2 linked regions of the Lepisosteus oculatus genome follow. The protein of the gene in region 1 interacts with the protein of each later gene in a pairwise test. Links are inferred from orthologs where the notes say so. Each region holds a gene or a part of one and is shown on either strand. Other genes may lie near its edges. The genes, in order: kinesin-1 heavy chain and cAMP-dependent protein kinase type II-beta regulatory subunit.

What was found.
Region 2: the proteins of kinesin-1 heavy chain (region 1) and cAMP-dependent protein kinase type II-beta regulatory subunit interact in binary tests that used the Homo sapiens proteins (3 or more experiments, as listed by UniProt). The two-hybrid records come from large-scale screens. The link is inferred for Lepisosteus oculatus from reciprocal best matches to the Homo sapiens genes KIF5B and PRKAR2B.

What each region holds. Positions count from the first base shown.
Region 1 is NC_090701.1:39,344,625-39,361,019, reverse strand, and holds the start of kinesin-1 heavy chain, read right to left. Parts: upstream 6,435-16,395; 5' UTR 6,196-6,434; coding exon 6,070-6,195; intron 1-6,069. UniProt on the Homo sapiens protein: Microtubule-dependent motor required for normal distribution of mitochondria and lysosomes. Can induce formation of neurite-like membrane protrusions in non-neuronal cells in a ZFYVE27-dependent manner.
Region 2 is NC_090702.1:39,639,455-39,655,647, forward strand, and holds the start of cAMP-dependent protein kinase type II-beta regulatory subunit, read left to right. Parts: upstream 1-8,751; 5' UTR 8,752-8,850; intron 8,851-8,856; exon of another isoform or gene 8,857-8,992; intron 8,993-9,077; exon of another isoform or gene 9,078-9,780; 5' UTR 9,781-9,795; coding exon 9,796-10,060; intron 10,061-15,154; coding exon 15,155-15,190; intron 15,191-16,193. UniProt on the Homo sapiens protein: Regulatory subunit of the cAMP-dependent protein kinases involved in cAMP signaling in cells. Type II regulatory chains mediate membrane association by binding to anchoring proteins, including the MAP2 kinase.

The sequences.
Region 1 (16,395 bases):
TGAACCACATGCGTAATTAAGGAGAGAAGAGTTGCATCTTCTGCCAACCAGGTGAAGAATAATAAACTGTACTCAAATACTCAAGCGGTGTTTTTAAAGTTGAGTCCTCTTAAAGCCACAGCTTTGTAGCAGACACCAATCAACCAGGTCAGACCTGGGCATAATTCTTGACTTCAATCACAAGCAATTACTCTCTTTCTGCACTCAGCATTACGGACATCAGAGGAGTGCAGAAGTCCTTACATTTGTTTAGACGATATCCAAGCGACCTCGAGGTTTCAACCACAGAACAGTCTCGGTAGAGAAGCCAAGGTATTTTGTAACGATACAGATGCACAAATCACACTAGACTGGAAAGAGAATAACCTGCTCAGTAAAGATTAACACGGCACTGAGGCCTAACTGCTGAAGAGAGGCATCAGGAGGCCTGGCCGAAGGGCCAGATTACCAGCCCCACACAAGCCCCAGCCCCAGGCCGAATACCATTTAAATCTCGTTGGTGGAGCTCATTTTAGTCAGATATGTGTTGCCAGGAGAAGCATTAAGCGATTACTGCACAACCGTTGCAGGGCTCTGGGGCCCATGGGTGCATTATTAAAACGAGGCTAACAGCTACTCAAACCTGCGTCAACAAAAAGGAAGCCCTACCACAGCACTGCACATCTGAGGGACAAAGATTTCACATACACTGCTGTACTGGCGCTGCCGGATTTAATGAGAGAAATAAGGAAAAATGGCTTCACTCTTCATTTGACGGTCGTATGTCTGAATGACCACTGGACCACCCATAGCAGATCAGCAGACACAGGAGCCTGCAAGATGCACAATTTTCCCAAAGATATAAAGACCTCCTTTTTTAAAGGGTGTTCATATCCCAATTGCATGATAATATAATATTGATATCACAATTAGGTACCCATTTATCATTCCAGTAGTCTTACCAATTGTTGAATAAACAGTATTTCAATATGAATTCTCATAAATTGACTAAAAGTGACGGTGAATTAAAACTCAGCTTTTTGCAGCTGAAGAGTGCTGAAATGAACAGGACCCGCAAAGACCTGGAAGATATTTTAGATCTTCAATTCCAAAACAAAACAACTGTATGCTTTTTTATACAGGTAAGCCTTTACGCATGTAGACAGTAAATAAAGAGGCACTGTGAAGAATTTCTAGGGTGGCATGTTCTAGCCTTGCTGTAATTGTACAAACGCAGGAAAACAATTACATAAGCAGCCGCAAGCTCCAGCTTCCCGGTCTTCAAGCTTGTGTGCAGAGGGCTGTACTTGGGGACATAAGCAAGGACTGTTCCTTTCCAACAAAACCCGTTCTGGTAAACCTGAGGACAACAAAAGCTCTTCTGCATTCAAGCCCGGGGAGTGGCCAGTTACAAAAATGGTTAATCACCGTGAACACCCACTGCAGGGCTCGGAGGTCTGACATCCGACAGCCAGATCGCTCGACTGGAGTGTGAATCTCTAGCCGCTAAACCAGCTAAAACGCAAACACCCCTCACAACCTGTGCCACCAGCCACCTGCCAGGGCTTGGGCAGGCACCTCTACCCGGAAGCCCGCTACACTGCCTTTATGAACCGTTTCTTTTTTATTCAAGTACGACTGCTTCTTCTGTTCTGCTGCTGGTTTAGACACCTTAGAAGGGGTTAAAGAGCCAAAGGGAAACCTTTGAAACCATAAACATATCGCCATGTTGATTTGCCCGGACTGTAACAAGATGTCACCACCTGAGCAAAACACCATCAACGGCACTAACTGCACTAAAACATTTCCTCCATTTGTAGTGCAAGGGTGGCGCCTTGAACTTCTCAACTTCGGCCCGTTTTGATTCTTTTTCCCTTACTTTAAGAGCCGAATGTTGATGGTTATCAGAAAAGCTAATGAAGCCAAAGTAAACAAAAAACTACACAGCAAAAATGACAACTCTTCTTATCGTACCTAACAAACGACATGCAAACTAATTCAACAAGAGTGCCAATTAAGTGCCTCCCGTGCATTTTAACCTAACTTTCTGCACTGCTGTGAAGAGAAAACACTGATTATGAAGATTATTTCTTTCCATAGAACGGCAGGCTGGGCAAACAAAATGGAGTTATCCGATAGTTACCACTACCCACAGCCCTCTGATGTTTCCTTATCCTTCCAGCTTACTAACGCATACTGATATAAATCACACCCTCTCCTCTGCTGAACTAAATGGAACATTAATCAGTTATCTCCTGAAAATTACTGACCTTGTCATAAATATTTCAGAAGCTCTTTTAAACAGAGCATGGGAAGGATTCATTCATTTCCACGTGCATTACTCAGCTGTCAACGGATACAGTTCAAAACCTCAGGTCTGTTGCCCTGTCAAGTCAGACTGGCCGAAACACATCCACCCCAGGCTACAATCAAAAGCAAACGCAGACAAGGGCACCCTAATATTTCTGGACATGCTATCCATCATAACTTGACCTGCTGCATGTGACTTCTGTAAACTTGGGGGGTCTCCAACCGTGGTTCTGGAATGCCCAAATCCATTGCATGTTTTGTCCGTGTGGGTCCTGATGCCCCAATATAGTGACGGGGATACAATACTATAAAAGGGCACCGTCCTTCGGGTGAGATGTAAAACTGAGGTTCTGACCATCTGTAGTCCTTAACAATCCCAGGGCATTTCTTGAAAAGAAACAGGGGTGTTACCCCGGCATCCTGGCCATATTTCCCCCTGGCCATTACCAATCATGGTCTCCTAATAATCCCCCTCTATGAACTGGCTTCATTACTCTGCTCTCCTCCTCACTGATAGCTGATGTGTGGTGAGCGTTCTGACACACTATGGCTGCCGTCGCATCATATAGGTGGTGGAGGAGGGGGATCCCCATTACCTGTAAAGCACTTTGAGTGGAGTGTCCAGAAAAGTGCTATATAAGTGTAAGGAATTATTGTTATTATATAAGTAAACACTAAAAACTAAACTATAAAAAAACTGAAAACTGGAAATTTTTACTCCAACTAGTTACACAGGGGCTTTATTAAAGTAAGCAATTTACACATGATTTAGAACAAAAATAAGAATATGCATCAGCTCAGCACTCAACATCCAGAATTACTTGACAAACCGATACAAGCTTAGTGCCATATGGTTCAAAAGCTCCTAATAATGAAAAAATAATATATTTAGGGGATCTTGTACAATAGACAGTCGTCCTGGAGCACTTCAGTTAGAGATTCTTGCAGTACAGCTTAGCTCGACTTTCCTGAGGCCTCATTTGCCATCGGAATCTTATATCCTTTTAATGAAAACTACATGGAAAAATAAATACATACTCAATACATGCACATGCAATAGTTATATTATAGTTATACTGTGCAACTATTTTTTGCAATAAACAAAAAAGGGCTTTAACCCATAAGCGATAATGGGGAATGGCACTGCATCTTAAGTAAAACACTTAACATTTATAACTTTGTTGATACAGAATATTGGACTATAGTCCAAACAGTGTTATATGCTAAAACGTTACAATGGTTAGAGTGCAACAGTTCATACATTCCTTTAGTTTAGACAACGGTATTGACTGTGCTGTTTGTGAAGGGCCTTGATCTTTGTATGTGCTTCCCTAAGCTTCTCAACAACTTGACATTCGAACCACAGACTGGACGATGAAGGCGTACCCCATAAGCAAAAATGTTGATTATACATATAATGTAGCCATAGAAACCTGGAATACTGTATACGAGGCAGCATTGCTAACCAAAATACCACCATGCACTCCACTGCTTAAGCAAGTATACTTCAAGCAGATGCACAATTTTGGGATCAGCTACTACTACTAAGTGAATGACAGGCCCAGTGGACTTTCCTTCCTGTTTTATATGACCCTTCTAACATTCTTAATCCCCCCATACAGTAAAACGGATAGCTTTAAAAGCTGAAGTGTATTTTCTTCCACAATAATCAACCTTGTTATAGAACAGAATTTTAGCCTGGAGAAGGGAAAACGTTCTTGCTCTTTTCAACCCAAATTCCAAATTTTTCAGAGAAATAAGATGCATATCCAGTAGCCAGCAAATAATACACAGACCATATTATGAGCATGTATGCATTCTCAATTAACAAGATCCTTCGGGGTAGCAAGCTGGCTGCTTTTCTACAAAGGTCAGGATGGTTCCCCTGACTTAAAACGACTGTCTAGCTCTATACTGTATGTGCCTACTTGTAGTTCTTCATAAGCTTTATTTTCTTCCAAACAAATATTGACTCTTTGAGCAAGAGCCTCTTTACAAAAGGTCACAAGACAGATCAAATACATTTCCTAGTGCATATTCATGATACTGAGTTACACGTCCTGACAAAAGACTCATTAGGCAGTGTGTACTACAGAAACCACAATTCTATCCCTGTGAAGTCCCACAGAGTGATAAAGCTAAATCAGAGAGGACAATGAGGAATGTGGAAAGAGCTCTATTGTATTTTACAAATGGATATTATGAATAACTTCAGCAGTTACATTTGACCAATCTGTACTGCCCATGTCCTATGTGTGCCTTTGCAGAATGTTTTTCAAAAAGACAAATTGCAAGCAGGCACGAATATCACTCCGTGACATCTGAGGAACTGGTATTTTGATGAATGTTGCCTCAAAAGGCTGGACTTGTTATCAGTGATCGTCAGCACCATGTAATTGGGAAGACAAAAAAATCACCCCATGTGAATTCCGCTGATGCCGGGATACTGAAAAATCTTTGAGCAGGGCAGCTATTTCAGGACACGCTTCGCAGGGGCCAAGTTTTTCTGCACACAAAGCAGCAAAAAAAAAAAACTTTCGATTTCAAGATCGGCGCCTGCACTTCAAGAATGACTGTGCTTCAAATCTGTAGCGGTCGTTGGCGAATTCGTGCTCTCAGCTGCGGTAGCTCAGTGGGGCGCCATTGTCTTTCACGGGCCCCCTCACCCACCGCACAACAAACAGGAGCCCCTCGGCCGGCGCACGCCAGCCTGACACCTGTCAAGTGACAGCGCGACCGCACTCTCTCCAGTCTTACGGGTTCAAAGACTCCCTCCCCAGTACTTTTTCCGAGTTCACTTGGGAGATGTGGTGCGATGAGTGCAAAGGGCAACGTGGAATTTAGGCGTTAGCCAAGCAGCAGCTGATGCGTTCACTGGTGACTTCATTCATTCGTGCATCCACGGAGACGAACAGTCTGGAAAACATTTTCTAACCCCCCCGAGCACTGTATTATTTGGCTGTGGGGGAGAATTTTATGCCCTAATAAAAGGGCCCCCCGACCGAATTGGCCTAATCCATCGGGCACACCTATTGTGTCCAAGACCCAGACGTAGGATATCCACGCAGGCAATAACAACTGAGCGCCGCTTGTCAAATCCCTGCTCTCGCTCCCCCAAAAGATACCGCTTTGTTTTGAGACGCCAGAGAGGGGCCGACGCGAGTGAAGGCCTCCGGGTCCAGCAGCTTCAACCAACTGAAACCCCCGCATTGCCGAAACAGAACACTTTGACGCCGAATACACCAATAGAGACGATGCAAAAGCAGTTCACGCTTTTAGGTTTGGGAAATGCCTAGTGCCGGCCACGTAGTTACAGCTGTGGACAACACTTCTGGCTTTGTTGTGTGCGCCGTGGAAAAGGGCACGATTAGGCCAGTCTTATTGTCTGACCCAGCCCTTCCAGCGATCTGCCACCGGCCTCAAAACACAACGAAGCACGATTCCCTTTAGGAGATCGGGCCGCTACATCGTTTATTTTCAAATAACTGGCGTCTAGCGCACTTCAACAGTGGCCAAGGAAAAAAAATATCAGAATTCAAAAGACGATTAAACGAAGCGTTAAGGGTCTCCGTGCATAAAACAATTCAAAAGTAAGTATGCATTTTAATGAAGCCGCAGTTATTAGCTAAAGTTTCAGTCGGCTGCTGCTCATGTGTCAATCTGTGGGTGGACAGCACAGACACTGCCCTTGGCTTTTAACCCTCATTGTATTAAAACATCAGCCTCTTCCGATGCCACCCTGATCGCAGAAAAGAAAATTCTTTTCTGCTCCCAACTTACCCCAATAACAACGTTGTCCTCCCCTTGAAATTTGGGGATGTATTTGTCCCCTCTCATCACTTCGGAATTGTTCAGCGGCCTGAATCGGCACATCACTTTTATGGTGCACTCCGCCGGGTCCGCCATCTTCCAATCTTTCTGGGATGAAACTGACAATAATAACAATCAGATCCTGCTGCCGGGACGGCCCAAGGGTAGAAAACCGGAGGCCGCACCCCTAAACCCTTCACCGAGTGCCGAAGAAACGATGCCCCCAGTCGGTTTCTCGGTAATAAATGCCCCCTTTTCTTAGGCGGATAGGAATCACTTCCTCTCCAATATGGCAGCCATGACACCGGCAGATCTCTCTCTCTCTCCTTCTGTCTGCTGCTCTCGGGCGGCTGGTGACGTCACCTCTGCAGATAACTCCGATATTATCAACACCCTCCCCAACCGGAGACGGATAGACCGGCCCAGCCCAGGGCTTACAGCTAGATTGGCGGTTACGGATTTGAGGGCAGCGCCGCCAAGTCATACCTGTGTTGCCAGAGAACCGAATTTTCCTACCGGACGTACATAAGCAAATGAAACGCAAACATATTGATTTCTTCTTTTGCATTATAAATATTTTTTTTCAACTCGCGCATTTATCGTGTATACATATTGACAGGGGGTATTCTTTTTTTGCATACTTCAGACAGCTTCATAAAAAGTGCAAGAATGATGCAGGTGCTTTTTTTTGCACCACAAGTACGAGATGCCCCACCTACGTCCGACTTCGTGTGTCCCCATTCGCAGCCTACGGGTTCACAGAGGGAGGTTCCGGGGTTGAACAGCTGGTCAGACAGAAGCAGAGACAATGATGTCACTTGAGCATATGGTTAGGATAATTGAACCGCAGCCGTTGATTCCTAAAATGTAAAACCAAGGACAGTGATGGCACGTGCTTTTTTAAGCGCCAGTCCCCCGCCCTCTCCTTTTCTGTCTTGGCACCAATTTTTAATCCCAGTGCCTGTGCGCTCAACACCAACAGGCGAGTTCCTGCTTCAAGTTGTTGCCGCAACTCACGCACATGTAGTGCGTCTGGCTGCTTACTGAAGGCAATTCATTAAGCGCTCGGTGTCGTTAATTTACTATTGTGCATCGTTGTCACTGGAATCCGCTATGATACAACCGCTATTCGTCTAAATTCCTAGCAAGAGACTGCTACAATCAGTAAACTTGTGAGTTTTGCAAACCTCACAAAGCTCAATGGAGACACAACAGTAGTTCCGTAAGGCAAAAGAAATACAAGACGATTTAGATGCTTTTCAGGTTGGCACAAATACCCCCAAAATGCAACAGATTAAGTATAATATTCAGGAAAGTACAGTATGTTTCAAATACCTTTTGTTGGTACTGAACTGGAACTAGCAATCTGTGAGAAATATCTTTGAGTTTGGTTTATCTCTTCTCTTTCTTAGGTAGTGTGATGGAAGAAAATAGGTTTACAAAGGGTATGTGGTTAAAATGTAGAGTTTTACAATTATAAAGTGCATTACCTGATAATTTGCTAGAAAGTACCCCTAACACTCTTCTGTTGGCAGCATATCATTCTCTACAGTTGCCTATACAATTACATATTCAATATAAGAGCTTGTTACTGACTTTAAAGGTTTAAATAATCTGGCTTCTTCATACATTTCTCAGCTCCTCCATGTTTACACTCCCTCTCGTAGGCTCTATTCAGTTGAGGCTGGTCTTTTGCTCACTATACCCAGCACTGAATTTCTTAGTTTCTTCGGTGGCTGCTTCAGTGTTATTGAAGTTCTTCAAATCCAAACCTAAAACTCAAGTGTTTACTAGGGCCTATGTCCAATTGACCTATCTGTATGATCTTGTATGTTATTGTTTGTTTTTATTTCTTTCTTTTATTTTTTATTGGGATTATGGGATTCTTGCGCACATAAAACTAGGATAACTAAACATTGTTGGACCACATGTCCATTTGTAATATTTTTAATGTCCTTCTGCTCTTAACTGGCATTGAAGGTTTTCTGATGATAATCTTTGCTTGTGTTTCTCTAGTTGGACCTCTAGAAACCAAAAGGCACATACAGTAGCACGAAGTGTGCTAGGTGTTCTAAGAAAATAAGATGTTAGCTGCTGAAACATCTGAAATGTTTTTGAATAAGCATAAGTTAAAAATACGTAATGTGTCTGAAAGACGTAAAATGAAATAAAACAAGTGCTTCACATGATAAGATAAATAGTTCTTTTAACAGATTGAATCATCAGTAAATATATCCTAAATGTAAGTATGACACACCAATGAAAAAGAAATAGATTATATGGAAATATGAAAATGAAATTGACCAAGATTTGGATTTGATTTATAAGAGATCTCCTGTTTGAATTCATTCATATTTACAACATTAAAGCTCAGATGTCATCACTCAATATGATCCTCATGTTATATAAATATAATTATTTTTACTAAACATTTAGTTCCTTGTGATTCTTTAATAAGTGTCAAAAAATATTCCGGAGAGGGAAAGATCCTGTTTCCAATTGTTAAAAATACCTCTTGTCCTATGTATGTACTCCTAAAGTTGGGTTCTCTTGTGAGTAGTTGTATATCAATGACAATAAAGTTAAATAGGAGCAGATGACTGAATTATAAATTAAAGGCTTTAGAATATTTTGAAATGAAGCACATAGTGAACTTCTTGGATTTTTTCCCCATTAAAATATGTTTAGCAGTTCTCTCTTCGAGACAGTATATGGCCAGTTGGTGCAGAGAAGCATCTTCACTGGACTGCATAAAAATATCCCAGCCATGTGCTCACAGAACAGATGCCAAGATGCAGGAATGCTAATGCAAATCACAAGAGTTGGTATTCAGGATTCAAATCCCTGTCCCCAGGGAAACAACGATCTATTATCTCTGCCAAAGATGAAGTTTGAGCAGTTTCAGCTCACTACACCTTTTACTGTACGCACAGAAATACACAACGCATGACTGAGCCTCCACACTGCTGCTGGCCTTTTTCAGCAAGAAGCTACCATCCAACAAAAGATAACATCCAACATTAGATAACAACAAATAGTTTATATTGTAACGCATACGGCCTCCATTGCTTGTGAGAGCCGGCTTACCAGCGCAGTGACGTCACCACCCTTCCCTGTGTATAGCAGGGACTGCAGCCGCTGGGCTGAAGGGAGATCTCCCTTTGGCTCAAGAGGCTGGGTCCCTGTTGAGTGACACTGGAGGCTTGGGTTCAAGTCCCTGATGGTGGGGGGCTGACCTGATGTGGCAGCAGTGAGGGCGCCCATGTGAACCCCGAAGTGTTACAATACTCAAAGCTTTATCAGCTACGTGACATTAATTACACTTCAGATTGTCACATTTGATTTTTTAAGATTAAGGTATGTAGAAGGATGTGGATATAGAGAAGAATGAAAATATTAGATCATTTAAAATGGCAAAATGCAAAATCCAGCAGGCCCATCTCTTTCAAGGTTTTTAATGGGATACAAAGGATTTTGTTACAGAGGATTACATACTACTGTATTTTAATGTAATGAGCAAAAAAAAATTGAATATAAAGCATTTCTATACAATTTAGAAATTATATCACTTCATACATGTTATAACAGGTAAAGATCGTTCCTCAGTGATTTATGTAGTTGGAAAGATATAAACAACCTCACAAGATTCTGTCCAGTCCAGCACAATGTACACGCTGTCCAGTCCAGCACAGAGCACGAATGGTCCAGTCCAGCACACCGCACTCACACTGTCCAGTCCAACACGGAGCACACACACAGTCCAGTCCAGCACAGCACACATACACAGTTCTGTGCAACACAGGGCACACACACAGTCCAGTCCAGCACAGCACACATACACAGTTCTGTGCAACACAGGGGACACACACAGTCCAATCCAGCACAAGGCACACACACAGTCCAGTCCAGCACAGCACACACACACAGTCCAGTCCAGCAAAGGGCACACACACTGTCCAGTCCAACACAGAGCACACACACAGTCCAGTCCAGCACAGGGCACACACACTGTCCAGTCCAACACAGGGCACACACACAGTCCAGTCCAGCACAGGACTGAAATCACTGCTATATGAATGTATGGGAGTTGCACAAAAAAGGAGTTTCATACTTTTTTCATACTGATGGCATTCAGATGTAATCTCAGTGTCAGTCAGTGTCATAGCCAGCTATCTCAGTGTTTGCTTATTTTTAGAGCAGTGATTTTGCTGTGATGTTTTCAGAAGATGGGTAGGACGGGCAGGGTATCCCTCCAGCGATGTTTTCATTCACACTATTTGAACAGGAGGATGACAGAGGACAGAGGACAGAGGACAGCCCTACATGGACCGAGGATGGTTCAAACAAAAACGAAATAATGATATGGTGAAATAAAACAGGTTTCATGTGTACGCTGAACTTCTTCTGTCTTGTAACGGATATCAACAGTAAACATGAGCCAGGGAAACTAAAGTGCATTTAAAATGAGAATTCAGAGTTGCAGGGATCCAGAGCTTATTTCGACAGGTAATAGGCGCAAGGCACACACATTTATTTGCAAACTCATCTAAGGCCAATTTTTCCTGAAGCCAATTAATCTACATGTTTGTCCTTGGACTGTGGAAACTGGAGCACCCAGAGGAAACCCACATGAACATGGGAAAAAACACTTAGCTCTTAGCTACTGTTCATAGAATATAAAGTGATTATGGAAAATGAGACAGCCTTTCACTCTGAACGTTGCTATTGCCTGAAAATCATGGCATGACAGCATGACATGATTTAAAAAATGGTTCTTCGATTTAAGAGACAACTTAGCAACAGTTTAATGTTTTTATTTCCTTAAAAATAGTAGTAGACGGTGATGTTTTCTAGAGTGAAGTGCATTTAAATTGAGAAAGGGAGTCACTTCTTTATGTAGAGGGTTGTGGGGCTCAGCCAAGTAGCTGGAGGTGATGCCATGATTTCTTTTAAGGAACGGATGGATGAGGTCTTAGGACCAATCAGCTGCTGTCTACAAAACAAGGTCCTTGGGCTGATTGGCCTCCTGTCATTTGCAAATGTAATGAAAAATTAAATACTATATGTTCTCATGAGAGGCTGGTCACCCTGGACAAGACATTCCTTTGGATTATTTGAAAATAGTAATAATTAATAAGAAGAATAATTGCTTACACTTATATAGCACTTTTCTAGACAATCCTCTCAAAGTGCTTTACAGGTAATGGGGATTGCCCTCCACTACCACGTGTATGATGTGACAGCAGCCATACTGCACCAGTACGCTCACCACAGATCAGCTATCAGTGGGGAGGAGAACAGAGTGATGAAGCCATTTCATAGATGGGGATTATTAGGATGCCATGATTGTAAGGGCCAATGGGAAATTTGGCCAGGATGCCAGGGTTACGCTCGTACTCTTTTCAAGAAATGCCCTGGGATTTTTAAGGACCACAGAGCCAGGACCTTGGTTTTAAGTCTCATCCAAAGGACAGCACCCCTTTTTTATAGTACAGTGTCCACGTCACTATACTGGGGCATTAGGAACCACCAAGACCACAGGGTGAGCACCCCTGCTGGCCCCATTTCCAGCATCATCCTCAGCTTTCCCAGGTGGTCTCCCATCCAGGTACTGGCCAGGCTCACACCTGCTGAGCTTCAGTGGGTTGCCAGTTGTGCCAGAGTTGCAGGGTAATATGGCTGCTAATTGAAATATTAATTTCGTTTGCTGTAATTTTGGGGGTTGAAGGGCAGCAACAGCAATTCCGAACCACCCGACCTGGTAAAAAGAGATTTTAAAATAAATGAACATAATATGAAAGATGTAAGTAAGTGGCAGGCATAATAAATAAAATGTGAATAGAAAAAATAAAAATAGATTACAGAGCTACATTGCACAGCCATGGCTAGTAAAGCTAAAGAAAACAAAGAAGTTTTTCCAACAGAAATTGCTATAAAATAATTTGGGGCTTAAGGAAAAAAATAAAATGAATGTTCTACCTTGAAGTGCTATAGTGTTAGGAGACTACATTTTAAGATATGGTAATGGGTAGTCTGGAAGGGATGTTTTCCTCACACTGTGCCAAGAGAAATGGAAATTAGCAATATTTTGTCATTTTGGCGCTTTAATTGGCTGCTGTAGATGGCCACCAGAGACCTGACTCAGCTTTCCCTCCTAATTTTGTGTTCTACTCTAAACACGAGCGCATTCCCCAGGAATGGGGCTCTTCAGTGTGCAGTACCTGGACACAATAAGAGTGCATTAGAACCTATAAATGCATGTTCCTACAGAAAGGGCATCGACAGGGCTTGAAGATAATACACTTTCCATTGTGCCAGATATTTTTTGACCACAGGAATGGAACAACATCCAAATGAATTTAACAGAAAGGAAAATGTCAGCCTTCACAAAGACTTGCACAAAGACGGTGGTTTTCCAGTCATTTATTTGCATTCATTATTGAAAACCTGAGAGCGTGGTGCTTCTGGGAACTCGCGGGCTGGGATTCACATCAAAATGCATCTGTATTTGACATTGTTTCTTGAAGCCACTATTGGATTTCAAAGTACATGAAACTATGAAAAGACTGTGCCACTGGCCACAATCCTGAAACCACACCTGCGTGGATGCAAAAACAAAAAGAGGATCAGTTCAAAAGTGTCTTTCAGAGCCACTCTGTCGTGGCAATCCAGTTTAACAGGTTCCAGGATGTCACTGCACTCAGCTCACCAGGCTGTTTCATTCTGCACACGGGAGCTGCTGTACTTTGGTGCAGAATCACTATGGGCTAAAGAACAGGGCTATTTTTATAAACTGTGGTTTGTCATAATGACGGTATGCTGCAGTTATTACCATTTCTGGACAGAGAAGAATAAAAGGGCAGGCTTACAGCAGCAAACAAAATGGTGTTTTAAACGTATTTTATTTATCCAAGCTTTTCTACAAGATTTCGGTTACACTTCCTCTATGCTTGTTTTCCAAGTTCACTGGAAACCTTTTGAGAGTGCTCCATTTCGCCATATTCACAGTTGAACCATGAAATGGTTAGAGGCGGTACAGAATTTGTTCAATATTAGCAGCTGTTAAATGTTTATAATAATACATGTATTTCTATTTTCCGGTCAAGTATTTAAACATCTCTTGCTCTTAGTCTTTTCCTAACATTAAAAAGGTAAAGTACCACAAATCTCGTCTCATACCTTACCCCTTTAAGGTCTGAAATGAGTGCTGCTGCTCTGTTTTGGACTTCCTCTAAAGTGCTACAGTATATTTGTTCTTTCTGTAATGTGGAAACCAGACTTGTGTGCAGTTTTATTTCCAAGCTTTCTCTTTGCCATTTCTATCACTCCTGTGCATTGGCTAGACCAGTGATTCCCAGTCCTGGTCTTGGTCACCCACATACCTATAGGGTTTTGTCCCAGCTGAGCCCTCAGTTACACAATCAAACCCTTCACTGACTTAATAATCAGATTAATTTGAATTGTTTCTTCCCGGCTCTTGGACATGACGGAGCTTTAACTGTTGTATTTTGTAAGTGAAATAAAAACACAGACGTGTGACGTGCAAAAAAAAATGCCAATATAACAATAAAGCAAAGTCTTAGATCAGGTAGGGCTTCAATTATGTAATGAAGGCAGGATGGAATGAAAACCAACGGGGGTGTCACCAGAGTCTCCAGGGCCAGGACTGGGAACCACTGGCCTACATGTTGATAGCTCTAGTATACACAGCTCCCAGTTCTTCCCACCGTGCATCATCATACAGTCCACAATTCTGTGCTGCTCTTACAGTTCTGCCAGGATTTCTGGCAGAACTGTAAGTGCAGTTGGACCCCTGTGTGAAGCCGTGAGGGAGGGAGTTCGAGCAAAGTAAATCCAAGACTTCAAATCCAAGTCGTTAGGCAAGAGCCAAGTCAAAAGTAGGAGAACCGGGTCAGGTAGTGAAAGGAGTGAAAGGAGTCAGGTCGAGAATAGTAGCGCACACAAGAGAGAGCTGTGGAAAACTTCTCAATGGTGAGCATAAGTAAGCCGCTGAAGAGTGTCTAAATACTGGGGGGTGAGACGTGGCTGGATGATTAGCTCCTGGATGAGCCTGTGTGGAATTTAGCATGCGTGGGAATGCCAGGGCGCTTACGGTAGAAGGTACGAATCGTGATCCATATGTAAAACTTCGCATGGATTTTCATCTGCCTGCTTCTGTATCCTACCTAATCTTCCTTATTTGACCCGATAGCATGCCCCCTTAGCTCTGTATCATCAGTTAATTTGAATGACTAAACTTTAATTCTTATAATACCCTGATCCACATCTACATGCATGAATAAGAACACCAGCTAAACTAGCTTCCCCAGGCTATCACAAATGATAAACGTACTCCGTTCAGAGTGTTCTTGTAGATGTTTCTGCTGAAGCAACAAAAGAAGAGGGGCATACTCATGGTTACCTGCCAGACTTCACTTACCCACCCCCTTTTGTCAAAACTGACTTCTCTAATAACACAGCTTTGGAACAATGCTTCAAGAAAGCAAACAAAGCTCACTGTACAGAGGCTCGAAACCCAAAACTTGCTTTGTTCCTAGGCACACAAAGCTGTGTGAAGTTCTGCTTCACTCTGGAGATCGTTTACTATATAGAGTATCTCCAGAGACTGAGCCCATGGCAGTGCAGAGGCAACAGACCGATCGACAGATTTCATTTGTGTCAAGATTACTGCACAGCAGGTTGAGATGGTAACAAGGCTTATCTGAGAAAAGCTTACAGTCTCGCAGGGAAGATGCACAACAACATACATAGAAACATATTAATACACATGCAGAGAAGAGACCAGAGGGTGTTAACTACATCAGTAAAGATTCCATTGTAACACACAAAAGATAAGGAAGAGTTTAAGAAGCACTGCTTTTAAGAACAGTTTACCTGCCCTGCTGCCTGTTCTGAATTTTTGTAAGCTATAAGGGACAAGCCCTGTGAAGGTTTTGGAAATTGCTCAGCAAAAGGATGAGGGGGTCTAGAGAAAGAGAAAGTGGTCTGTGCTACCATGGCAACCGCCCGCCACATCACCTGCGGCTGAAGCAAGGGTTCTGACACCGGAGGCCATCGACAATTTGGAAACAACACAGAGTGAGGAAGAGGGTTAGTTCTTCACCACGGTATTCTCCAAATTGACAAATGTCTTTGCACCCTGAGGAGGTTCCCGTCTCTCCCTTTAGAACGGATATTGTAACTTCTGAGTGTGATAGCAGCCACTTACTTCCATCTTCTGAGAAGCTGTGCAAATGGGAAGGTGCACGCCTGATAAATCAGAAAAGTGTGCTTTCGGGTTCATATAATATTCATTTATTAATACAATAGTATGTTTGGTTCTGGGTAGTCTTAACATGAGCACATGCCTTCTCCTTGTGGTTTAATTATCAAAAAACAAACCTATTCAAACAGTGGGAACAATTCAGCAATGCAGTCTTCTTTACTCCGATCCCTGGACATTTTTGCTTTCCTTGAATGAACCCTGTCCTCCCTAGAAAGGAATTACAGGTGTTGGTAAGGAATCATGACTGCCAGTCATGAGTATGAGAGCAGCCAGATCTCTCTTCTTTATACCAAGAAGGCTGCACAGCTGGGCAGGCAGAGTGTCCTGCTTGATAAATCAGGCTGAGATATTTGAACTGCTGCATGGGTTTGCATTTGACCATCTTTGAAGAAGGGACTTTAGAAACTGACAAATTGAATATGCTGGTACCTTAGGTTGGTGTATCTGGTGCCATACGCACATTCCCATGATGAACAACTTCTCTTGCAGATGGAGACATTAAGCTACCCTCTCACCATTATATATCAGTCTTCAACTTATAAACAAAATATTTCTATTTTTGCACACCTGTAGAGCAGATTCAGAGTTGGACAATATTTGTCTTTCTCTTTGTTTCTCTGTATGGAGTATTTCTGAACTGTTAGAAGTCACTATGATGTGGCATATGGGTCAGCTTGCGGCCTGTTTTAATAGGCTGTACGGACAAGGGCTGGAAGACACTACTTCCACTTGACGTGCTCAGTACATAAAGAACACATTTTTTTCTAAAACAAAACTATACAATCTCCAGTTATAGGGAACAAAGAAAGTGTCCTGCTGTCATGTCTTAATTTACTATGTGGAATTTCTCACCTATTGTTACTCTGTGGTGGTTATTCTTACCTTAAAGATAATCATTTAAAAAGAAAAAGAAAACACATAACAGAGCTGGCCTAGATTACACTTCTTCCGAGCTGTCACATCTCCTTCGAGAAGGTGTTTTGCAAACTCATTCCATATCATCAGTTTTG
Region 2 (16,193 bases), on another chromosome or scaffold:
GTTAGACACAGACAGATACACACTCACACCAGAAATCAATTAACCTACCAGCACTACCAGCATGATTTTGGACTGTGGGAGGAAACCAAACACCCATAAGAAACCCACACAAGCACTTGGAGAACATAAAAACCGATAAGCCTTTGAAGAGTGTAGCATATTACTGCATTTTGGATCAATAATCAGAATCGCAATTGTAAAACCCTGGACACTGAGCTCTGCAACACTGATGTTTTCAAAAACAATTGCTAACAAGCTGTTAATGTTGGAGACAAGATTTCTGTGGTTGTTATGGTAATTTTTAATGATGTGAGAGAAGAAGGTGGATCTAGCAGACTCTATTGAAACCTTATATTCAGACACGTAATCTCTCCAAGCCCGATAATGTACATTTAGCCCAGAAAGATTCCACCTACGCTCAAGTTTGTGAGAGACTGTCTTCATAGATCGCAGATGGTTGTTATACCAAGGGGCAGGGCGAGAGAAGGAGATGGTTCGAGTTTTTAGAGGACCAAAGGTGTCAAGGGTAAATAAAAGAGCACTGTCAAGTAACTGTATTTTGTCGTCTAGGGGGTCAGAGGAAGAGAAACAAGATAAGGAGGACAGAACAGAATTTGCATACCTTGGCTGATCAACTGATCGCCAGTTGCAGAAATTTACAGAGTGTGAGGGGGAAGTGTTAGAAACAGGTAATTCCAGATTGAAGAGAACAGCTAAGTGTTCAGAGAGGCATAGTTCAAGGGAAGAGCAGTGGGAGATATTTGAGTCATTTGCAATGATTAAATCTAGGGTGTGTCCTTTGTTATGTGTAGGGTTACAAACTGAGTAAGATCAAAACATACCAGTAGAGAAAGGAAGTCTTTAGCCAGACTGGAAGACCTTGAGTCAATGTGTATATTAAAGTCCCCTAGAATAAAGATCCTTTTAAACTTAAGGCATAAAAATGAGAGGAAATCAGCAAACTCACCTAAGAAGGCTTCACTTTGTTTAGGTGGTCTATAAACTGTGGAAATGATAGTAGATTGGGGGATAGAGACATTTAAAACAAAACACTCAAAAGAAGAGGGAAGAGGTATAGTAATAGGACTTAAATGGTAAAAAATGTTATAAATAACAATAATAATAATAATAATTGCTTACACTTATATTGTCACACCCTCTGCAGCCAGAGGGTGCTTCTTCTCTGTCCTGTCCCTAGTTTCCGGTCTGCTGTCCTTCCTGTCCCTCTCTTTCCCTTGGGCTATATATTTCCGGGTCTTGCACTCTGTCCTCGCTCAGCATTGACGTTCGGATGTCCTGAGACCCGCCCAGCATCAGGGCGCCCCACGTCCGCTCCCTGAGGGCATAGGTTTCTATACGGCATTCCTGAACTCTTCGCACTAATGAGCCCGGGCCTTTTTCCTGTCTCGCCGCTACACATATGGGTCTTTTTCCGCTCTCCTGCTCCCCACGGTTAGTCCCTTTGGACGTCCGTGACATATATAGCACTTTTCTGGACACTCCACTCAAAGCGCTTTATAGGCAATGTGGACTCCCCTCCACCACCACCAATGTGCACCACCTGGATGATGCGACGGCAGCCATAGTGCGCCAGAATGCTCACCACACATCAGCTATCAGTGGGGAGGAGAGCAGAGTAATGAAGCCAATTCATAGATGGGAATTATAAGGAGGCCATGATTGGTAAGAGCCAATGGGAAATTTGGCCAGGACGTCAGGGTTACACCTCTACTCTTTTTTTGAGAAACACCCTGGGATTTTTAATGACCACAGAGAGTCAGGACCTCGGTTTTACGTCTCATCCAAAGGAGAGTGCCTATTTACAGTATAGTGTTCCCATCACTATACTGGGGCATTAGGACCCATATGGACCACAGGGTGAACACCCCCAGCTGGCTCCACTTACACCTCTTCCAGCAGAAACCTTAGTTTTTCCCAGGAGGTCTCCCATCCAGGTACTGACCAGCCTCACACCTGCTGAGCTTCAGTGGGGCTGCCAGTTGTGAGTTGCAGAGTGATATGGCTGCTGACAATGATGCCCCCTTCTGCCTGAGAGTCACAATGTCACAAATCATGTCACAATTTGTGTGAATTCTATTATGTTGTGAGACCAGGAGTTTGCCAAAAGATGGAAACTTACAGTACTTTCACAAAGTTCACTATTTTGTGCTTAATTCAAATTTTGTTTTTCTATACCATCAATGAATTTATTTGTTAACAAGATTTAATAACCGGTCTGAGAAACTGGGACTGCAGTTCCCCTTTAACTGAAATAAAAACATATTTTCTGGTCTAATTTCTGTGTTTCTTTTGAATCTATTATTACACTGATTTCTGGGAACTGTACTTTGCCAGCTTTTAGGAACGTATAATGTCCAAGTGTAAGACTAAATTAAACCCAAATGTCCCTTCCCTAGGGGATAGGGGATAAGAGGAGAGATTGGAAAGCACCACAGAACAGCAGTGGAGTGAAAATTGCAGCATGTAAAGACCGAGAGGAGACAGGGACGGTAATCACACAGCTAAAAGAGAACTGAAGAGGAGAGGATTGTTCTGACCTCTAATGCCAAGCCATGATAGCCTAATCCACATAAACAATGGGCTGAGGCACACTGGCAGCTTGAAGCCTCAGAAGGCTCCGGAAGACTCTTTAATTTCAGGAGGCTAATCATGTCAGTATGATGAGGACCTGTATTTTCCAAACTGAATCCTAATGTGAATCTTTTATTGTCCCTACCTTTTTTCCGATCTATGGGAAAACCTTGGAACCAGTCCTAAGATGGTTGTGCTTGTGTCAAAGGGTGAAGAAAAATGGGAGAGGGACAACAAGTGTCAGGCACTGTGTTGACTTGAAGTTTAAGGAGGAGTGGTCAGTTTCTCCCTATGGACTGATGCATTTTCACCTTGTGCTTTCAGCGCCCTCCCACTGCTCATACACTTGGTAATTACCACACAGTTCAGAGGTGAAGTGTGGGATTGGGAGACACGTCTAACTTTGTCGCAGCCTGAGGTAGGGGGGGGGGGAGGGATATACAATGCATCATTACAGATGGACATCTGCATATAGCAAGCTGATCAATGTGTTCTGTGTCTCATGGCTCTTTGTGTTGGGTGGGCAGTGATAGAAATTGCTGTGTTGTGGGGATGTTTTTGTGTGATGAGTGCACCGTAATAAAAGAGGAAAATATGTAGAATGTTTGCGTTGTCTGGTCTGTGGGTACACTGGTGGTTCTGGGAAATAAAAAGAATCTGTTGCTGGAGAAAAGGGTCCTAGCTCCTTTTAAAATTGCAAGGTAAAAAGTGAAAGCAGTTCCTGCATTTAGAGGTCACCTTTCCATGACAATGTACAACAGGATTTGCAGCCTGTGTTGAAACAGTGGCTATTTAATGTCATAGTATATATAATATACTATTATACTGTTACAAGCTGATAGCTGGATATATTGGTAGTTGACAGTGGAAGTGTCTAAGAATCTAGAAAAAGTGTGTATCACCTGGCAGTGTAAACATTTCAGCTTCAAAGCAGAGGGGATGTTCGCTTAGATGTAGGGGGCCAGTGTCTGTGATCAAAGCGCATCATAAAGTTTACCTTAGTTATTGAAGTTCTGAGTAAATGACTAAGTGTCAATAAACAGTCTAGAAGACAGATCATATCAGATCAGAAGAAGGAAAAATAAGAAGGTCAGACATGAGAGAGGAGAAGAGGAGAGGGAACTTGAAGCTTGTGCCTTGCTAAGAGAGCTTGCTATTCTTTAGCTTTTAATGAATTTGGAGTTCCTGAGCAAAGAATCTCTCTGTTTAAAACTGCCTCTCCTGCTTGGTGCATTTTAAAATAGGGAAATAGGCTTTCGTTTATTCTGTGGCATCCAGGTTACAGATGGATTTAATTGTAGGTTGTATTCTATTTAGTTTAGAAGGCAGCTTATCTTTTCTTTAGCCTCTGTAGGCATTAAGAGTTGAATACTTTGTAACAGTCTGGAGTTTTCTGGGTGGTTTAGATGTAGGCCTTGTCTGTACATAATCTATATGTAAAGAAACTTCCTGCTCACTAGTCGCTGTATTGACTAATGTAATGTACGAGCAAATAAGTAACAGAAATGTTCCAACATGATCTCCATGCAGATTTAACAAGTAGCATTTGTTGGCAGAACCATCTCAAAATCGAGAGCAATATTCACAAACCTGCTTGTTTACACTATATACCTGCTTGTTTACAGTATGTATACAGTATATACCTGCTTGTATACATTATATATAATATATAGAACTGTTTCTTTTTGAATGGCCCAGATTTGGAAAGAGAGTCAATGGCTTCCTTGCCACAACACGAAAAGTCCACAAATTCTCCCCAATCTGGAGAACTTTTGTCTTACTGTCTGTCAGTCTTTAACTTATTTATTATGGTGCAGAAAATATTCATACTGAACCCTGGGAGATTTCTGGGGGTGCCAGACTGGACATATTTTATGTCTAAAGAAAACCTACGATCTCCCAGTGTTTTTCCATTTTTTTTTGTTTCTCAAAAAAATTGGATGACTGACTAATGTTTATTCTTCAAGGTCTCATCCCTAAATACGTTCTTTCTGCACATAAAATCAGTTTAATTCCAGTTCTTTATATATTATGTAGAGTTTTCATCTAGAAATGTAACACACTGGTTGATGCATGTTAAACATGTTATCCAATACAGATGTAGTTCACTCTCACAGGTGTACACATAGGAATGTGGCTGTGTTGATGTAGAAATGCTCTGAGATAGACTACCTTTGGTTTTATATGTGGTGGAACTATATAACCATTGGAACTACATAAAGGGGTCCTGCACTATTTTTACCCAGTGACGATTCCCATATGGCTGTCGGTCTCTATATACAACATCTGTTGGCAGGTTTTACTATAACCAAAAATGTATCTTGTGAATCTCCATTTAAATCTCTTATGGTTGCACTCTTTTCTAGATATTATTCTTATGTAGAGACAAGCATAGCCAAATTATGTTATTCAGCGCCAAGAATTGTTTCATCCTTGACAGAGATTTTTTAAAAGCACACAGTTTATTTGAGTGGTCACTTTCCTTTGTTTTTTCTTTTCCTTTTTCTCTGCATTTCAGTTGAGATCTTCCTTCTTTTCTGGTCAGTATTTCTGTTGATGTTGTTTTCAATAAAGATAATAATAATACCAACATTATTCTTACAATATCTGGAGCAAAGCTGATAATCTAGCTTCTTTCAAGAAACAGTTGGATGAAATCCTCAAATAAATTAACTATTATTGTAAACAACAACAACAACAATGGACATTGTCTCTTTTGTAATCTTTGCAATGTTATAATGTTCTTACATTCATATACCGAGATACATTAAAAACATAACACAAGCTACTGCTTCAAATCTGCATTTGTTGGATATTTAATACCACTTAGTATACAGTATATTGACAATTGTAACCTTTCCAATACGTGGAACTTTCCACATTCAATTGCTGACAGAGTGCTTTAAATACTGGAGGGGCCGTACTTTATCCACTGTTGAAGTTTAGCTCCCAACTAGTTGATGAGGGCATCCATTATGGTTCAGACACCCTGTACTACATTGCAGGTCAAGTGGGGGAGTGATAAATTGCTTACCAACTGAATTAAGTGGAAATTTAGGATGGGCAGATTATGCAAATCCACAGTGGAATTAAATCAGGACACCTGGGTTAACACTGCCATTGGAACGTTTAATGATCATGTAGCTAGAACCCTGGATTAATGCCTTGTCCAAAGGACATAATATTAGTTATGTAGTTAGTGCATCATACAAGTGCAGATTTAGATTTTCACCCACACTTCAAAACCTTCCCCACTGTCATTGTTTCACATCTTGATTTTAATTAAATGAGGTACTGCAGAGCCAGGACAACAAGGAAATGAATTTATGACAGAGCGATAATAACATGCAGAAAACAGTCATTTCAACTCCTGAGGGAGGCCATTCTAGAGCCTGCCGAGATCTCCCAGGTTTCCACTGATGAAAGTGGTGTTCGGCGTTGACTGGCCATCGGGATGCAGATCATATATTTTGCCTGAACCCAGAAATAGGTTTACAAGCTAAGACTGGGCAAGCTTTCACAGGGCCACCTTGGACAACTTATGTCTTTTTTTTTTAGGCAAGGCTAAAAAAACAGTGTGATTGCTTTTATAATGCAAGAGGCCTCACCCATAAAGGTACATCTTATCCACAGGCCCGTTGTTGGATAAGTTTCAGCTTATGGCCTCTAATCATTTGTGAATGAGGCATAAATTCTATTATCTCTACAGTTCAGCAAAAATACTTACTGCAAAAAAGCATGCTTTCTCAATGACATTTTTATACAGTAGGTAACATATAATCTACTGGTGTTTTAAGTATCACCAGCTTTTAAAGTGGTGCCATGATGTACTGTACATACATTCTCGTAGTGCAGTGTAACTCAGGATTCTGCAGAATATGAGGCTTTTTCATCTACTTCAGCCTCCCACGCCTTGTTGTTTCTGAATTTTTAATTTTGAGAATTTTTTTGCACTCTGATGGGAACTGCAAAAAAATTTGGAACATTTGGATTTTGGAACATGCAACATTTGAATGTTTTTAGAAATCATTCCCATAGACTTCGTTATTGTATTTTTCAATGTATCCATTTTTTCTGACAATGACCTCAATAGTGATTAAATATAAGTTGATTCATTTCTGGGCTCACAACTCATGAATTTATTGATTGGGGTTTATTGATGTCCTCACTGAAGATAGAGACTCAACTCATTTCTGGTTTCTTTTTTCTTTGCTGGTATATATAGAGTTCAATCTGGTAGTACCTAGGAATGCTGTTAGCTCTGATTTTGTTTTTTGCTCTTTTGTTTTCCACAAACAACAAATAAAACATAAGTAGTCTAAAAGCATAGTTTTCTTTTTTGAAGTGAGTTTCCTTTCCAGCTGAAGAGAGATTTGTAAAATAAAGACTTTGTACTGAAATACATAGAATCCTGTTTTGTTTACTCTTTTGGGAAACAATCTAATTAATAACAATGGAACAAACAACTAGAAATTAAACAATGATGACCTTAAGCTACCACTTAAGTGTGTGATCTGTTTTTTTTGTCTGTTTAAATATTTTAATATTAAAACGAAAATAAACAAATACAGTTCCATATAGACTTTTGACTCTTGCTTGGATCTCTTATAGTAGTTCACACCTTGTATGAAGTTAGCATTGCAGTACAGTTTTTCCTTTTAAAGATTTTGAAGACAGTTAACTCTAAACCTGCTACTCTTGGAAGTGCATATGGAAGTAACTATTTTTACACATCAGATCCTTCAGGTGATAAGTTTAATACTTTACATTGTCACAGATATTGCTGGAGGAAAACTACTCTCTTTCAGCAATGCCTCCTTGACTCGAACATCAAAACTGTAAAAGATGCTGATATTGTAAAGAAGCACTTGAAGGTAATCTGTGTGACCCCGCGTTGAAGCAGTGCAATGTACAGAAAGTTGTAGTCACTGAGCAGACTGATTATCACTTAACCTAGTTTTGACTAAATTTAGTCTAATAAAGGTCTTAATGGATATAAAACTGCATTTAGATATCCATTAAGATAGTTCCCCTGTGAAACAGAACGGGGAAACTTGACTGTTAGTTCTCACTGTTTTTATAGTGGGTTTTCAACGAAGACTTAAACAATGTAACATAATAATTCAAATTTAGGAGGGCTGGAATTTACAAAGGTAAAAAGAGCACACTTAAGAAGGCCAACAATCTGATAAAAAATAAATGTTTCTCAAACAGCAATTGTTTGTGAAGCTGAAATATTCAACCCATTTAAGGAAAAACACCATAATTAAATTACACAATTAAAAATCAAAACTTTATTTTCTATTAGTTAGCAGCCTTTTAAACAATATGGAAAACCAACAAGACGTTTCTAGATTTAGAACACTTAGTGTGTGTTAATCCTCTCTCTCTGAGTTGATGATGTGCCTCATCACACCATATACAAATCAAGTATATTTAAGTAAAGTTACTTATAAGTAACTTATTTTCAAAGTTGTAGCCTACTACTCTTTGGGATATTCAGTATACCTGTCTTTACGATTGTACCAATTGTGCTGAAAAAAACTTTGGAAATTACATGTTAAACTCTATAAACATCATTATAATAATTCCTTACACTGATATAGCGCTTTTCTGGACACTCCGTATCCTGCTTTACAGGTAATGGGGATCCTTCACCACCACCAATGTGCAGCCCCCACCTGAATGATGCAACGGCAGCTATAGTGCAGTACCACACACCAGCTATTAATGGGGAGATCAGAATGGTGAGGCCAATTCATAGATGGGAATTATTGGGAGGCCATGACTGGTAAAGGCCAATGGGAAATTTGGCCATTACACCAGGGGAATACTCCTACTCTTTTCGAGAAATGCCCTTATTACTATTGAATGTCCCCGTATGGGTTTCCCACTTATAGATAAGCTTTCCTAGCAGAAGCCCCCTCTCCCATTGTTGGTCTATTGTTGGGGTTGATCTATAATACATTGCAACTTTTTTGTAAAATGCAAGGGGAAAACGCAACACATGCAGAAATACCTGGGTTTTTTTTTTTTAAAAAAAAGAAAATTACGTCAAGTACACAGAACGTCCTGCTAAGTGGTAATAATAACCTGTCTGCTGTAGCCTACATTTTAGACGTGTATGTATTGGCGGTTCTAGCAAGCGCACAGCAGAAACTCCAGGCGGGAAAGCAAAACCGTTTGAACTCCGGCATCACCCGGTTCAAAATCTAAGACACGTGCCTAACGGCCCCTTCGACGAGCACAGCAGAAACGGTAACGTAGTACTGTTTAACTCCTGCATCCTTGTTCAATTTAAACTGCGTTATACGATAGAGAACTTCTGTTTTTCAATATATATACTTAAAAGATTCACCAACAAGTATCCTGCAACACGGGCTGCGAATCGTCGAAAAAGGTGACGCTTATCAGATGCATTTTTTTTTTCGGTAGATGGTGTTTTGGGGGCTTTTTTGTAACGTTGAATGACCTTAAAAAGCAAACCATTGAAACCACAATGAAAACATTTTCCTTTCTCAAAATAGGCAACATGCGGTCGGTTTTTCGAGTTATGTACTGTAGTTTAAAACTATTCTTTCTCCGCAGTTCAATTCACCAATGAGAAACCTACAGTTACACCTTACTCCCGACAGTGTAAAGCGTTCACCTGGAGGCATTAAAAACAACTGCGTACACGGCTAGGGTCGCAAAATGGCACGTTGCACATGAACGTGCGCTCTCAGGCGCGAAATGGATGCTACTTAAAATGAACTTTGCCATCGTGGCACGCATAAATAGACACCAGCGGCACACGGTGCCGGTCTACACCAGGTATTCCCGAAGCTCCTCAGTCACTGCAGTTTCGCAGCGGCTCTCGCACGCAATCCCTGGATGGGTGGTTGCCATGGTTTCTCGGGTCACATGCATGGGCTTCCTGTAGCCAGCCAGCCAGCGGCATAGATGCTACAAATTTCACTGCCATTTTCATTCAGCAGGCGGTAGAGGAGGAAGGTCTGTGTTGAAAGCACTGGGACTCGTGTGCTGCAGACAAAACCCCTGTCAGCTGCACTGCACATTTTGGATTGATCTGTTTTCGGAAACTTTTCTCCCGTTTCCTCAAATTTTATCACTCAGGAGCCGAGCTTTAAAAACCAACAACTAGGGTGATCGAATTCCTGTGATACTATTTTGCACTTATTTCTCCAGAGATTGATTATAGGAATGAGTATAGAAATCCCTGCAGGGCTGACGGAGCTGTTGCAGAGCTTTACAGTGGAGGTCTTGAGGAATCAGCCGGGAGATCTGCTCGAGTTTGCCCTGCAGTATTTCACCCAGCTGAAGGAAAGTCAGAGTACAGGGGAGGCACTGGGCCATGAGCAAAACTCATCTTATAGACCCGGGAAGGGAGTCAACTTTATTGAAGAACCCATGCAAACGGATTCGGAAAATGGAGAGGAGGATGATGAAGACGACGAGGAATTCGTAGGTAACACACGTTATTGTTATTATGACTTTTATTGCCCGGACCAGGGATTACGATTCTCGTCTTTATTTTAAGCAAATGTCGGTAGTTTGAGAACCCTGCAGTGTAAACGTGCTTCGAAATACTAATAAAATACCGATCCCGCACGAACAAATCCCACCCCCCCAAAGCGCAGTGAAGGATACTTATATTTTTTTTCCCTGAAATAAATTAACTCTTTCTAAGATCGATTTAATGTACGCGTTATAAATAGAATAATAGACCCAGCCAGCAGACGAATGCTCATGAAATGGTCATTTTTTGGCGTTAGCCGTCTATCTCGATATACAGTACGTGTAGCAGCAGCATATTTTGACAGTATCGCTGAGAAAATAGTACACAAGCACCTTTCTGAAAGGTAAACGCCAGATTCTCTCCTTGACAGCACCTTAGCGCAAATAGCTGACGAGGCACCGCGCAGGGCCTCAGACGACAGCTTGGATAATATTAATAACACCCCTCGCAACAAAGCCTGATGTGCACATTATACAGCGCACCTCTACACTATGTGTACTTACAGTTTGTGTGTGGTGTGCACTATAGTGAGATACCTGTTCCATGTAACTTGTGGGGAGATACTTTAAAAGGGCCCGTTATGTAATTTTCTCACGCTTGGAACGTTAAACACGTAATTCATGATGTACAGGTTTCGTAAACATTTGTTTCTGTTGTTTAAAAATATGGAGACGCTCTGAACAGTGTGCTAAAGCTGCCGGCCTTGCATATTTTTTTTTATAGTCCCCAAAAGAAAGATCTTACCTTGATGTCCAGTTGGCCGTCTGTTGTACTTTCCAGCTGGAGGCTATCGTGCACATTCTACAGTACATTGGATTTGCTCTGTGTGAAGATGGAGTTTAAATTGTGGGGACTACTCCTGGTATGCTTTATGAATCTCAGTGCAGTCTGTAAACATAAATAAGGCCTGTTTCAGTAAGGATGATTCTGACTTTACGTCACAGACATACAGTATTGTGCTTTGGGGAAAAAAAAACCATGATGACTAAGGAAGCATTTTGTTCTAGATTTTGAATTATAGAATTCAGACTCTTTTTTCTTTATTCTGTTTTTGAAATTCTCAAGGCTTGTTTTATAAAATCCCATTTCATTAAAAAAAATACAATAGTTCAGGTTGATATTTTGCCATGTACTGTGATAGTGTTGCTTATGCAGGGGAGATGCAGTCTGAAATCACTTTCTGAAATTGCCCTCCATCGTGAATGAGAGATAATTGTGAAGTTGTTTTCCTTAAATAATGTGTGACTGACTTAATGTCATGATCACTTACCTAGATCGTGGAGGGTTTGAGTTGACCTTATTGGTACAGTAAGGGTTTAAGATGGTCTACACTAAACTTTAAAAAGAAGATGAGTTATTTGCTATGGCTGGATTTACACACATGTGAAACAGCCATGTGAAATGACAGTGAGGTACAGGACTAACAGCTGTATTGACATCATCAGGAAATTCCCACTTAAGCCCTTTTCGTGTTAAATTTTCAGTCCAGAATATTGCTTCAAAATTAAATGCCGTTTGTGTGCATCTGTTTAATTGGGATTGATTAGACCTCTGTGATCGCGCTTTGCAGTCATATGCAGAATATGCAGTTCCAAGAAATGTCAGGCTATTTTCATGAGCAGTACAGTGTTTAGTGTTTAGCAATTGTAATTACTTTGAAGGACTGTGGTAGATATGCAGCTAGTTGAAAAAGTGAATAATTTTCATCTATTTTAAAGATACAAGAACTACGTCTTATGCTATGTGAACAAATCACAAAACATGAATAAAAAATAAGTTTTCCCCTATTTGTGACATAACTTACTCTCTATTTCATCAGAAGGTTTCTGGGTTAAGCCTTTGCAAGTTAGTTCAGTGAAGCATACCAGAGCCTACTATCAGAACTATCTAAAATGTTTAATGTGAAAAAAGGCATTCAGCATTTTTAGTTCTTAATATTAATTCAAGAAGTTAATTTAACAAAGGTTATACTAGAAATAGTTTTTATTTAGTTCACACAAAGTTATCATACAGTAGCAGACAATTGGTCTTTCCTACTCCGTTTTTCTCTTCTGAATTTTGTGAAGAATATTATATAGTTATGTATGTTTTCTAATAAAAAAAATTAAGTCACAATCACAGAATCAGAAAATGTGATTTTGTAGTGACATTGACAGGAAAGGCAGCTGTGATGAACAGCTGTTGTCTTGTATTTTCAGTACTATAGTTATCAAATAAAGTGGAAAGGGTTTATTATTATTTATTATTAATGCACAATGTAATACCTGAACACAAAAATATATACCTGTTGTATAACACAAAGCCAATATTGAAAGCATGTAATTAAAAGAACGTTCCTTGCAACTGTTACTGTAGCTGTAGTAGTATGAGTAGTCTTTGTGATTTCACTTGTGTAAGACTTACCTTCTGTGGTAGACACAAATGTCTAAGATTTTTTGCTTAAACATTTTTTCTTCTGAATCTTTGTATCTTTATATTAAAGAAGTGTTCACCCCCAAGGCTTCAATTTTTTGGATACATTTTATTAACTAAGAAAAAATGAAAGCTTGATCCATGTATTAACAGAAAACCACCTTTTGGAATGGAATCAGCCTGTTTCTACTCAATAAACATATTCTGATAGAATGTGAATTTTCTGCTATGCCCATTGCTTATTAGGATAGGTTCTGGGTCCCTGTGACCCTTATTGGATAAAGCAGTTAGAAAATGCATGGAAAAGTGTGCATCTCTTTATTTCTCCAAAGTGGAAAGCAAATATGCGTTTTAATTATTAGGATAGTACTAAAACCTTTGTAAAATCATCTAAAACGGACACTGCAAGAAAGGCTAGGTGTTATGATGTAATCATTTAAATAGCTTCTCTGCCCAGTTGCCCTTTTAGACCTTTCCTTCAGAGATGTTGTACACAACAGAAATTTGAGAATTTTGAGGCCTTAGCCAATCAGTTCACAATCCAAAATATATGATAATTTTACACAGATAAGAGGATTTATGTTTATTATATCCCTGATACGCTCTGAGCCATACAGACAGAAGAGATTGCTCTTTTATTGTGCTTCGGTTTTGAAATCCTCAGAACCCCAAAACAGTTATGCAACTTCTTCAGTCTTAGGCTGAGAATGTGATCTTAGTGTTTAATTGTTTTTATTTTGAAAACGAGATATAAGACTGAAGTGGATTCAGAATGTAAAATAGTCAGCTGTCCTAATCTTCAAATATGACCCACTCGTATTTTTATATTGAGCTGTTATTTTACTTGAGTCTTAAGTGCACACGTTGGCTTAGTTGACCCTTTTATTCTTTCATTCTTACCACACTTATTAAATATCAAAGCCTTTATTCATGGGGAGAATACTTTTGGAAACTTTATTTTGATTGATCAACAAAAGCCTGCAGCAGTTATTTCATGTTATTTCTAATGGTGTACCGTTTTGGTTAAGTAAAGTCTATATTATGTTTGATTTATTTATGTGCAAAATATTTTTTTAACTTCAGGTAGGTGTAGTAAAATCAATACATGAACAATAAAAAAACTTTCAAAGATACAGTGTGATTGCTAAATTGGTTATTAACAACTTTGTCTTATAATCTAGCAGTATTCCTCTCCACTAATATATAAAACAATAGGCTAACAAACAGAAAATGGTGCAAAACGTTTGGGTTATTTTTGAAATATGCTGTATCTTTTTCAGGAAGTTTTATATTTCCGCAAGGTCTGGTTTGGTATTAGATGAATCCAGCATACAGTGTCCTGCAGGGGAAAAGTAAAATAAGTCAAACCGTAGACATATCAATCTGAATATGTTATACATTAAATTGAAAGTAGCTATTCCATTTTTAATTTATTTATGTAAAGCGCATCTCCAGGCTTTAGCTGTTCTCTTTTTAAAGGTTTGCCTAGTTACCATAAAATCACTTGCTTTCCAAATGTATGGTTTGGAAAAGCATGTCCCCCACAGTGTTAGTGAAATCTAAAGAGATTAGATAGAAACTGCTTACACTGTAGATGATGAAATATACAAAGTGTACAAAATACATGTCCAGGTTTTGACATGCAATAATGTTAATTAGTTGGCAGATTTAATTTTGGTTTTAGTAAACTTGAATGAACTTTGAAAGTAATGGACCCTAAGAAATATCTAATGTACTACAATTAGTAATACTGTCCAGATTGTGGTGACGCTGATCACACACATAAATGTGAGAAAACATTTGTGGATCCTTTGAATCACCTGTTTTCCTGCAGTATTTACTTCTAAAATGTGATCTGATCTTCATTTTTGTTATAACAATAGATAAACACTCTTATTAAACAACACATAAACAAGTGTACCTTTTCACGTCTATATTGAACACATTGTTTAAATGTTCACTTTCTGTGATGAAAATGTATTTGAGCCTTTAGATTTAGTAACTGGTGGAACCTCCTTTAGCAACAATGACCTCAACCAAATGATTCCTGTAACTTCTGATCAGTCCTGTTCGTTGGTGTGAGGGCATTTTGGCCAATTCCTATTTACAGAACTGTTTCTGTAAACATTTTAAAGGAACTGCTTCCATGAAATTAATTGTGATATCTTAGCAGAGAGGAAATATTATTGAAGAAATGGAAAGACCTTTAGTTTTGTGAATAGAAGATCAAACACAAAGACAACATGCCTCTAAGCTTCTCAAATATTGAGTAATCAAATATTATATTCATTGTTTGATTGTGTGTAATCATTTTTCCTATCAGAAAAAAAATAATGTGTGATAATGATGCATTATGATAATACAATATATACATATATTGTAATTTTACATATGAATATACACCATTCATACATAATTTACACCGTGCAAATCTTTCAAGAAAATGTCTTTTATTTGAAAAGTACCTGTGATTTTCGTCATTTCAGTCAAATAATTAGTAAACAAAAGAGCTTTTTATTCTGATGGCTGCAATTTTTTAGAAATACACTGACAACTTTCTGTAAATTAAAAATTAGAAGTGGTTTCGGTTTCATTTTTTATAATTGATAGCAAACATCCATTTTTTTTCAGCCCCAGTTATCAACAGATTCGTAAGAAGAGCTTCAGGTAAGTCAACATTCATTTTGTGTCTGTTGTAATATTTTCTAAAAAACATTTAACTTGCTTCACATTTGAAATGGTGAAATAATATCATATTTCTGCTATATTATGAAGAATGATACATTTCTGTATGTAATTGACTGAAGTTCTCTTGTTATTTAATTTTGTATGTTTCATGTCCTACTTTGTAAATTCTAATTGATTCAGCTTGGGTTCCTATTTATCATGATGCAAACTATATGCTGTAAAATCTAAAAATGTAAAAGATAAGATGATTCTGGAAATCTTTAGTGAAGCTATTTACTATCTTTACAAAAGCTCAAATGACCAATGGGAAAAGTAGGATCTTTAGAAAATATAATAAGGGTTTAGTTTTCCACTTTGCCTACTGTTTTTCAGATCTAAACATGTAATGAACCTTATTTCTTTTTTGTCTTCCATTACTAATCACAACTTCAGAGAACCTTGCAACACATAAGTAATATAGTAGTAATTGGTAAAGAACAAACACATTGTAAAAGTTCAAGTAGGTAGCTGCATCAGCATGTGTGGTCTGCAAAGGAACAGGTAAAGGTTTATTCTGCACTGAAATGAGAAGAAAAACACAACGTTTCGGCTATGGAGCCTTCTTCGGCCTTCACACCAGAGGAAGGCTCCACAGCTGAGTTGTTTAAAAAATTACTTGTTTAAAAAATTGCAATGCATGTAATGCATATATAAACTAATATGCACAGCAACAATAATTGTTACTCACAGTAATTACTCAAGAGTGTATACAAATAGTTTAATCACTTTTTTAAGCATTATCATTGTAATGATCAAGGTCATTTAGAAAACACTAGCAAATACTTGATATTGAAAGGCAGCATGCATGGTGACACTTCCACGTGAAATTCTAGTTGTTATTATTGTGAAAATGTCCCTTTCATCTTTGTTAACATTGCTTATGTTCCTTCATATATCTCAAGGTCTGATGCAGGAAAGTTAATATATATAATGTTAATATATA